Xenopus tropicalis: one gene and its partner. The protein of the gene in region 2 binds, or shares a complex with, the protein of the main gene of each other region. Links are inferred from orthologs where the notes say so. Each region holds a gene or a part of one and is shown on either strand. Other genes may lie near its edges. The genes, in order: ube2b and rad18.

Evidence for each region.
Region 1: the proteins of rad18 (region 2) and ube2b are in contact, whole or in part, in a crystal structure (PDB 2YBF), measured with the Homo sapiens proteins. The link is inferred for Xenopus tropicalis from reciprocal best matches to the Homo sapiens genes RAD18 and UBE2B. Residues at the interface, in NP_064550.3 of Homo sapiens: Tyr342, Arg343, Lys344, Lys345, His346, Lys347, Glu349, Phe350, Leu353, Val354, Gln356, Ala357, Arg358, Lys359, Gly360, Tyr361; in NP_003328.1 of Homo sapiens: Pro20, Val22, Gly23, Val24, Ser25, Gly26, Ala27, Ser29, Glu30, Gln35, Asn37, Ala38, Val39, Phe41, Gly42, Pro43, Glu44, Glu49, Asp50, Lys54, Leu55, Val56, Leu73, Ser74, Asp151, Ser152.

Annotation. Positions count from the first base shown.
Region 1 is NC_030679.2:26,523,207-26,527,806, forward strand, and holds the start of ube2b (ubiquitin-conjugating enzyme E2 B), read right to left. Parts: upstream 3,061-4,600; 5' UTR 2,958-3,060; coding exon 2,914-2,957; intron 1-2,913. UniProt on the Homo sapiens protein: E2 ubiquitin-conjugating enzyme that accepts ubiquitin from the ubiquitin-activating enzyme E1 and transfers it to a E3 ubiquitin-protein ligase. In vitro catalyzes 'Lys-11'-, as well as 'Lys-48'- and 'Lys-63'-linked polyubiquitination.
Region 2 is NC_030680.2:131,520,531-131,524,352, forward strand, and holds part of rad18 (E3 ubiquitin-protein ligase RAD18), read right to left. Parts: intron 724-3,822; coding exon 377-723; intron 1-376. UniProt on the Homo sapiens protein: E3 ubiquitin-protein ligase involved in postreplication repair of UV-damaged DNA. Postreplication repair functions in gap-filling of a daughter strand on replication of damaged DNA.

The DNA of each region.
Region 1 (4,600 bases), on a different chromosome or scaffold from region 2:
ACAAACCCCACACGCAGAACATAAATGTATTCTTATCCATATTCCTTTTATTTGCATAAAAACAATTTTATAGAGATACTATCATCCTATAGTTATGTGCCATTTAGAGGTACAAGAAACATTATTCAGCAAAAACTCGAGTTACATTGTATGCAATGCTATGAGTCTCATTTTGGTGCACACTATGCCATTTACAACAATAGACATTCTGAAAAATCAAGTTTTCTTATCAAGTGGGTATATATACACACACACACACACAGGTATAGGACCTGTTATCCAGAATGCTCGGGACCAAGGGTATTCCGGATAAGGGGTCTTTCCGTAATTTGGATCTCCATACCTTAAGTCTGCTAAAAAATCAATAAAACATTAATTAAACCCAATAGGATTGTTTTGCATCTAATAAGGATTGATTATATCTTAGTGGGGATAAATTACAAGGTACTGTTTTATTATTACAGAGAAAAAGGAAATTAGTTTTAAAATTCTGAATTATTTGATTAAAATGGAGTCTATGGGAGACGGGCTTTCCGTAATTTGGAGCTTTCTGGATAACGGGTTTCCGGATAAGGGGTCCGATACCTGTCTTGGCAAAAAAATGATAAGTTAATTTAAGCAAAGAAATCCTTTCTTTGCTTAAATAAACTTATCATTTTTTTTGCCAAGTCCTGGTGTGTGCAGCTCACTGTCTTGCTTTATATATATATATATATATATATATATATATATATAGCGCCTAACTTCTAGCGCCATTTCTTCTATCTGCTTCAGTAGTAAAGTTGTGGCTCTAGGTAAGAATCGGAATTCCAGGTTTGTTTTGCATTTATTGTATTACATTTGAGCAGATTTGCTGGATGAGGGGGCAAACACATGTTATATGGAAGAAGTCAACTGGGTGGGTGTCACATCTGGGACAGTTCTCACCAGGGCATTTTTAATCACCAAAACCTATAGTAGGAGGAATACAAATAGAAAAAAAAAACCCTTCCGCTTAAACAAAATTGAAGGGAAGCCAAAACAGAAGCCGAGTTCTGAAATGACATAAGACTTTAAGAGCTTCACTGTGTGGCTGCTACAAAACCGGTATGGATGCTGTCTGTATATTTTATTAATAAGGTGCTACTTGTGTATGCATCACTAACAGGAGAACAATACACTAATAGGAGTTAATCCAAAAATAAAAACGAATAAATACAAAGCACAAAGTGATACTCAAGATTAAGTGCTGAGCGTTAAGGACCCAAGTGGAATGAGGTTCCCTGACATTCTTGCTTTATGATGCAATAAACTGACCTAAAAAAAACAATGTTAACAATACAAAGATGTTTGCCCAGCTAAAGATTATATTTATCTGTGCAATAATGTACGTTACAATAAATGGATGGACTGGATACTTTTTGCTTTTGTATTTCTAGCAGACATCAATATGTCATCAAATCACCAAAACCAATAAAACAAGTGATTGTGAAGTGTAGTCAATGTTCAGAATACCTTATCTACTAATCACATTGCACAACTGCCAAAAACAAAGCTGTGGACAACAATGCAGGACTAAAAATCCAATTAAGTAATTAAAAACATAAAAAAACATAATGCAAAAAATAAATAACTGATCAGTGGGGCCCATTTATAAACACCAGGCAATTCTGTACATGTGCAGTAACCAACAGCAACTAATCAACATTTTCTCTCTTTTTTTTTTTCAACCTGGTGAATAAAAACAAATCACTGGCTGGTTGCTATAGGTTTCTGCCCAGGTGCAAATTTGCCCAGGTGCAAATTTGCCCAGTATTGAACAGCACTCTGTACATTAAGTAGTTCTATATAAATATACATACAGTGTTGATCAATAATCCAATGTAAATGTATTGGTCAAAAAAGCTGATTCAGTATTCACAATGCAGACCAAATAGATTTTTATGTGCGGCCAAGCATGCAAGATAAAGCAAAATTGGAATTCTGGGAAAATGTGTTTATGTGTAAAGCCTTTTAAAGAGCTGGAAGGCAACTGCAGGACTGTACCAGCAGCAGAAATGGGGCAGATAAGGCTAAAGCTAATGATGACCAGCATTTCACTAACTGCCAGAAAACCTTTCAACCACATTGCTGGCAGTTCATATCTTTGGCTGAGGGTGTAAAAGGTGGCCAAACAGTACCTTGTACTTGAGCCTAAGGTATAATTAATCCTTATTGGAGGCAAAATAATGCTATTGGGTTTATTTAATGGTTAAATGATTTTCTAGTAGACTTAGGATATGGAGATCTAAACTACGGAAAGATCCCTTATTCTGAAAACTCCAGCTCCTGAGCTTTGCGATTAACAGGTCCCATCCCTGTATGTATTTTTGGATGTGGGTGAGGATATATCTTACAAAACAATACAGATAAGCACATGGCAGCATGGGGATAGAGGGGCCGGCTGCACTAGCACACACTGCCCACTATAACAGCCATAAAAAATACAAAAATAAACTTTACAGATAAAAAATAAAACCTAGCAAAAGTGAAATATAATTGTGGGGTCTACTATAACTCATTGGCCAACTGCTCTATGCTGCAAAGAGATCTTCCATACTGTTCTCTATAGATATTTAAGGAGATGAACTGGCCTAGTGCTTATAGCCAGCAAGAAGTGGGGTTTTGTGATTTTCAGTGTCCCTAACATCTTCCCTTTACGGGTACTGATCCACTGAACGCCCAGGAGGCCTCAGGTAACCCCCCATATGCTGCAAAACTACAACTTCCAGCATGCCAAGCGGGCAGAAGGCGAGAGGTGTAGTCCCACAAGAGCAGAAGCGCCGAAGGTTGCCTGCCCCTGCCTTATACACTAGTCGTGTGACTTGGTGGCGGAGTCGAACGGAACTCGCAGTGAAGCCGATGAGGGAAGGAGCCTGTAACAGCCCTACTCACCTCTTGAAGTCCCTCATCAGCCTCCTCCTGGCCGGGGTGGACATTGCCCCTGAATAGAAGCAGTACGGAGGGGGAAGGGAGGGAGCCCAAACCCGGCCGCCGCTAACTCAGCAACCCTGGCACAAACAAGCCGCAATGACGTTGCTCAGTGCTCCCAACATGGGGCTGGACCAGAACGTTTCATAGGACCGTACCAACTACACCGGAGAGGGAGATTCCGTGCTAAGCTGCCATTTTTGCAAAATGTTGCCCCGAGATTCACTGCGGAGTTTAATAGGAACATTTGTTTTTTATTGTGACGCGGCATGCCGTTTTCTTGGACGTGGGGCAGTGTGATTTATTGCTGACGATCACCCCTGTCATCCGTACGAATGGTCGCTTCCATAAGTGACAACTCAAAGTTCCTGAGGAGAAGCGTTGCATCATATCACGTGGTGTTTGAGCTCGGCTTTCCTGGGAGGGTAGCTTCGGTGAAAGTTGATGGTTCTGTAGAGTATTCTTTATAGCGAATAAAGTCTCTTACTGGAGATGCTACAAGTATGGTTCAGCACCACCAGTAGGCACACTGTTTAAACATTCCTGTTTTATATAGTCTGCAACTGAAAACTGCTTGGAAATTGTATTGCAGAAATATAGTCAGAGAAAGATATGGCACATGTGCCTGGGTTGTATGAATAACATGCACCATAATAAGTCACATTTATTATCAGTTTAATAAATATTTGTCTTCTGAAATGATTGTGGTAATACCCCAGGCTGTTAAAACTGGAAAGTGACCATAATGTAAATTTCAGAGATAGTAGTTCTTTTTAAAGAATGGGTTCTGCCAAACCATCTGCATATTTGAACACTTGGTAATCTCATCAGTTGCAATAGGTGATTATTGCAGAAATAGCAACTGATCACAATTTGCAGGGACTGTCTTAGATCTTGATATACAGAGGAGGAAATAATTATTTGACCCCTCACTGATTTTGTAAGTTTGTCCAATGACAAAGAAATGAAAAGTCTCAGAAGAGTATCATTTCAATGGTAGGTTTATTTTAACAGTGGCAGATAGCACATCAAAAGGAAAATCGAAAAAATAACTTTAAATAAAAGATAGCAACTGATTTGCATTTGAATTTTCATTGAGTGAAATAAGTTTTTGAACCCCTACCAACCATTAAGAGTTCTGGCTCCCACAGAGTGGTTAGACACTTCTACTCAATTAGTCAACCTCATTAAGGACACCTGTCTTAACTAGTCACTTGTATAAAAGACACCTGTCCACAGAATCAATCAATCAAGCAGACTCCAAACTCTCCAACATGGGAAAGACCAAAGAGCTGTCCAAGGATGTCAGAGACAAAATTGTAGACCTGCACAAGGCTGGAATGGGCTACAAAACCATTAGCAAGAAGCTGGGAGAGAAGGTGACAACTGTTGGTGCGATTGTTCGAAAATGGAAGGAGCACAAAATGACCATAAATCGACCTCACTCTGGGGCTCCATGCAAGATCTCGCCTCGTGGGGTGTCAATGATTCTGAGAAAGGTGAAAAAGCATCCTAGAACTACACGGGAGGAGTTAGTTAATGACCTCAAATTAGCAGGGACCACAGTCACCAAGAAAACCATTGGAAACACATTACACCGCAATGGATTAAAATCCTGCAGGGCTCGCAAGGTCCCCCTGCTCAAGAAGGC
Region 2 (3,822 bases):
ATTTGTTGCAGGGACTAATCTCCTCGTCTGTCATTTCCTGCTTTAAAAAACCTAACCATGTTGTGTGTCAGTTGTGCACTGAAAATGACTGGCTCACGTTGGAATCGGCCAATTAGAGCAGGTGAAATGTGTCAAAAACTCACAGCATAAGCGCGTTATGTGCAGACAGAAAAGAAATGTTACACTAAAGAAATATAAAATATATAATTAAATACATAAACAACTGTAAGCAAAAAAAAAAAAAATTAAGACTATTTGTAAAAACAGATTAATTCCAGATCCAATACAGTTTAATTATATATAAAAATCCAATATAGTTGCATTATATATAAAAATATAAAAAATATGGCAAATAGTTCGGACACTAGAGGCTTACCTCTAACTTTTGATGCAGAAGAGGGTGCAGCTAGAGCAGATGTGGAGGGTGAAAATGTACCAAACGTCTCTGTCATTACAGAACCTGCTTCTCCGGCTAAATCAATATTGGAGGTATTAGCAGAGGTATATGAAGAATCCTGGCTTAAAAAGGTTTCATCTTGTAAAGTGTTTGAATGAGTTCGGGGTGTTGAACAGTTGCCTTTTACCAGAAATCTATTCATTATTATGTTCTCTTGCTTTACTTGTTTACCAGTGCATCCCTGCATTTTTGCAATCTTGCTGGTGGAGGGGTTACTTTGTGGCGACATGGGAGGTGAATCCAAGACAACCTTTGAAAGATGCTGCCTAAAACATACAAGAAAAAAAGAGTTGTAATTTTATTTAAAACAGAGGAGACCTGCCCACATTGTAGTAGATATTTAATACAGTTCACAATTAGTCATTAATTTTGTGTATATTATATATATATATATATATATATATACACACACACACATACATATATGGGATCCATTATCCAGAAAGTATGGGATCCATTGTCCAGAAAGTTCTAAATTAAAGGAAGGCCATCTCCTATAGGCTCCATTATAATCATATAATTCAAACAAAACAGTATCTTTTACTTTATACCAGCTAAGACAGTGCCCTTTCTCAGGGACAGGACTTTTTTTAATAGAACTTTTGTCTTTTGGCACTAAGTCCCTGTGTGTGGAACCCTTTCTCTCTCTGTATATTACATTTTTTTTTTTTTATTTTTTTTTTTTATACATTTCTAACATTTTTTTTAAACTGAAACCAACACACTCTTGCTGACAGTAAATCTGTCAATTTCCTCTGTTCTAATTGGATAATTCCAGCAATAGTGAACAATAATAATAAGAAAACCTATTTGTGAAAAAGAAATAAAGCATGCAGTATATTTGGGTGCATGTTTATAACAATGACAAATCTTTAAAGGAAAACTATACCCCAAACAATGTAGGTCTCTAAAAAAATATATTGCATAAAACCTGCTTCATCTAAATAAACCATTTTCATAAAAATATACTTTTTTAGTAGTATGTGCTATTGGGTAATACTAAATAGAAAACTGCCATTTTAAGAATTAAAGAGATACTGACACCAGAAATGAAACCTTTTTTACATCTGTCATAATATTGTCTCTGCATGCTATTTATTATTTTGCCATAAAAGTATTTGTCCAAGCTTTTACATTCACTATCTGATCCCCCATGTTCCTCTATGAGGGGGCGGCCATATTTGTCCAGCAGGTGGCCATTAGCATTAGAAGCTGTAACTGACTGGCTGAGAAGGGACAGTCAGGCTGGCAAAACAGTCAGGTTTTGGGATTTCAAGTAACAATTTCTTACAAAAGCAAACCTATCAGCAAAAAATGATCAACACGACCTATAGGCAACTTTTTATGTAGATTCATAATTTAAAAAGTTGTTTTTTCGTGTCGGTATCACTTTAAGGCCGCCCCCTGGGATCATAGGATTCACAGTGCACACAAACAAGCCAAGGCACACATACATGCTAGGCCCCATCAGCCAATTAATGGGCAGAGTTCTGCCTTTTGCTCCCACACTACTTCCTGTCAGAGCTGCATTATTTCTGGTCATGTGATCTCTGAGGGAGCACACAGCCCATCACTAAGGGCCTTGACAGACGGGGAGATTAGTCACCCGCGACAAATCTCCCTTGTCCCAGGAAACTAATCTCCCCGAAATGCCATCCCACCGGCTAGAATGTAACTCACCGGTGGGATGGCATACGCGGCGCGGCGATTTGCCGAAATCGCTGAAGTTGCCTTGAGAGGAAACTTCGGCGATTTCGGCACCGCATATGCCATCCCACCGGAGATTTACATTCTAGTCAGTGGGATGGCATTTCGGGGAGATTTGTCACACGGCAACTAATCTCCCCGTCTACCACAGCCCTAAATGGCGACTCAAGGGAAAAGATGTAAAAGAGCTAAATTTACTGATATATATATATATATTCCAGTTTAGCAAAATTCTTTAATAGGTCACTTAACAAAATATAAACTGTTTATTAGGTATTTATTCTGGGGGTATAGTTTTCCTTTAACATATGCTGTTTTGCTTTAGAACAGGAAACATCAAAGCCTGTTTTGTGGTGTAAGTCTTATGGAATTGTTTTACCATCTGAAATGATTCAAGACTAAACCCATATCCATCCTCTGGATAACTACAGCCAGTCCAAAATATCAAATAAAAACAGCCAGGCCTCCCAGGTAGGTACTCAAAGGACAAGGTCAAGTAATAGAGGGAACAGTTGTGTGTTACAAACAAATAAGATGTGGCAGAAGACCTAATTTCACATGACTTTACATAATATTGAGTAAAGGAGTAGTAGTGCAGAAAGCCATATGTCTATATAAAATCTTCTAGCTAATCTTTTTGCTTCAGCTAGCCATACACGCACAGATATTGTTGTGAGGTACAAGGTTAAGTACCATTTTCAGGAAAACATTTTTGAAAGCAGAATATGCAATCCAAAGTTTTCCAGAACAAGGTTTTGGAAAAAATACCATTAAGCAGCCTTACCTCTAATAAAAACAGAAGATTCTGTTTCTCATCTCTAACTGTAGACATCAAATGGCACTGAATACTAATACACTTGCATATACTTGGCGTTTCCATCGGATCTAAATTTGTCCTCTTTCTAATGACATTAAATTATGAGATAAGACTGATCAATGTAATTTCAGTCGGCCATAACATCTGACCTCCACAGAACTTACTAATTATACCGAATCTGTACGGAATCTCTACGGAATCGCAGCTTTATTAATTAAAATATTTGTGCAGATCAAAGCATTTCCACACTACTGTATATGTATGTATAAGTGTGTGTTATTTCTGTTGCTGATGTTAATTTCCCAGAATGCAAGGCAGTAGCAGCAAGACAGAGATGGACATACAAGTGTGATATGCAGAACTGAGCTGCAGTTATTATATCAGGAAACCCTGCAATTACAGATACCCTACAGATCATATCCTTTCCTTTCAGTAGGGATGCACCAAACCTACTTTTTTTGGGTTTGGCCGAACCCACCCTGGCAGATTCTGCTGAATCCTGAACCAAATTCGAATTAACATATGCTAATTAGGATCGCTGCACGTGCGGCAAATTTTTTTTACCATGACCATTTAACCCTTTCCAAATACTAATTAGCATATGCTAATTCTTACTAATTAGGATTCAGACGAAACTGAATCCTTCAAAAAAAGCCTGGATTTGGCCCGAATCCCGAACCGAATCCGGGATTCGGTGTGCAGGGACCCATAAGATTTAGCGCTCCTATGGCTTTAATCCCCTACTAGTTCTTTCTATTACTGTTACTGGGCAGAGTCCCCTGTATCTAGTTTGCACTAATGCTATCCCTTATTTTTTTAGTCAGGTTGTAGACGCCCCCTG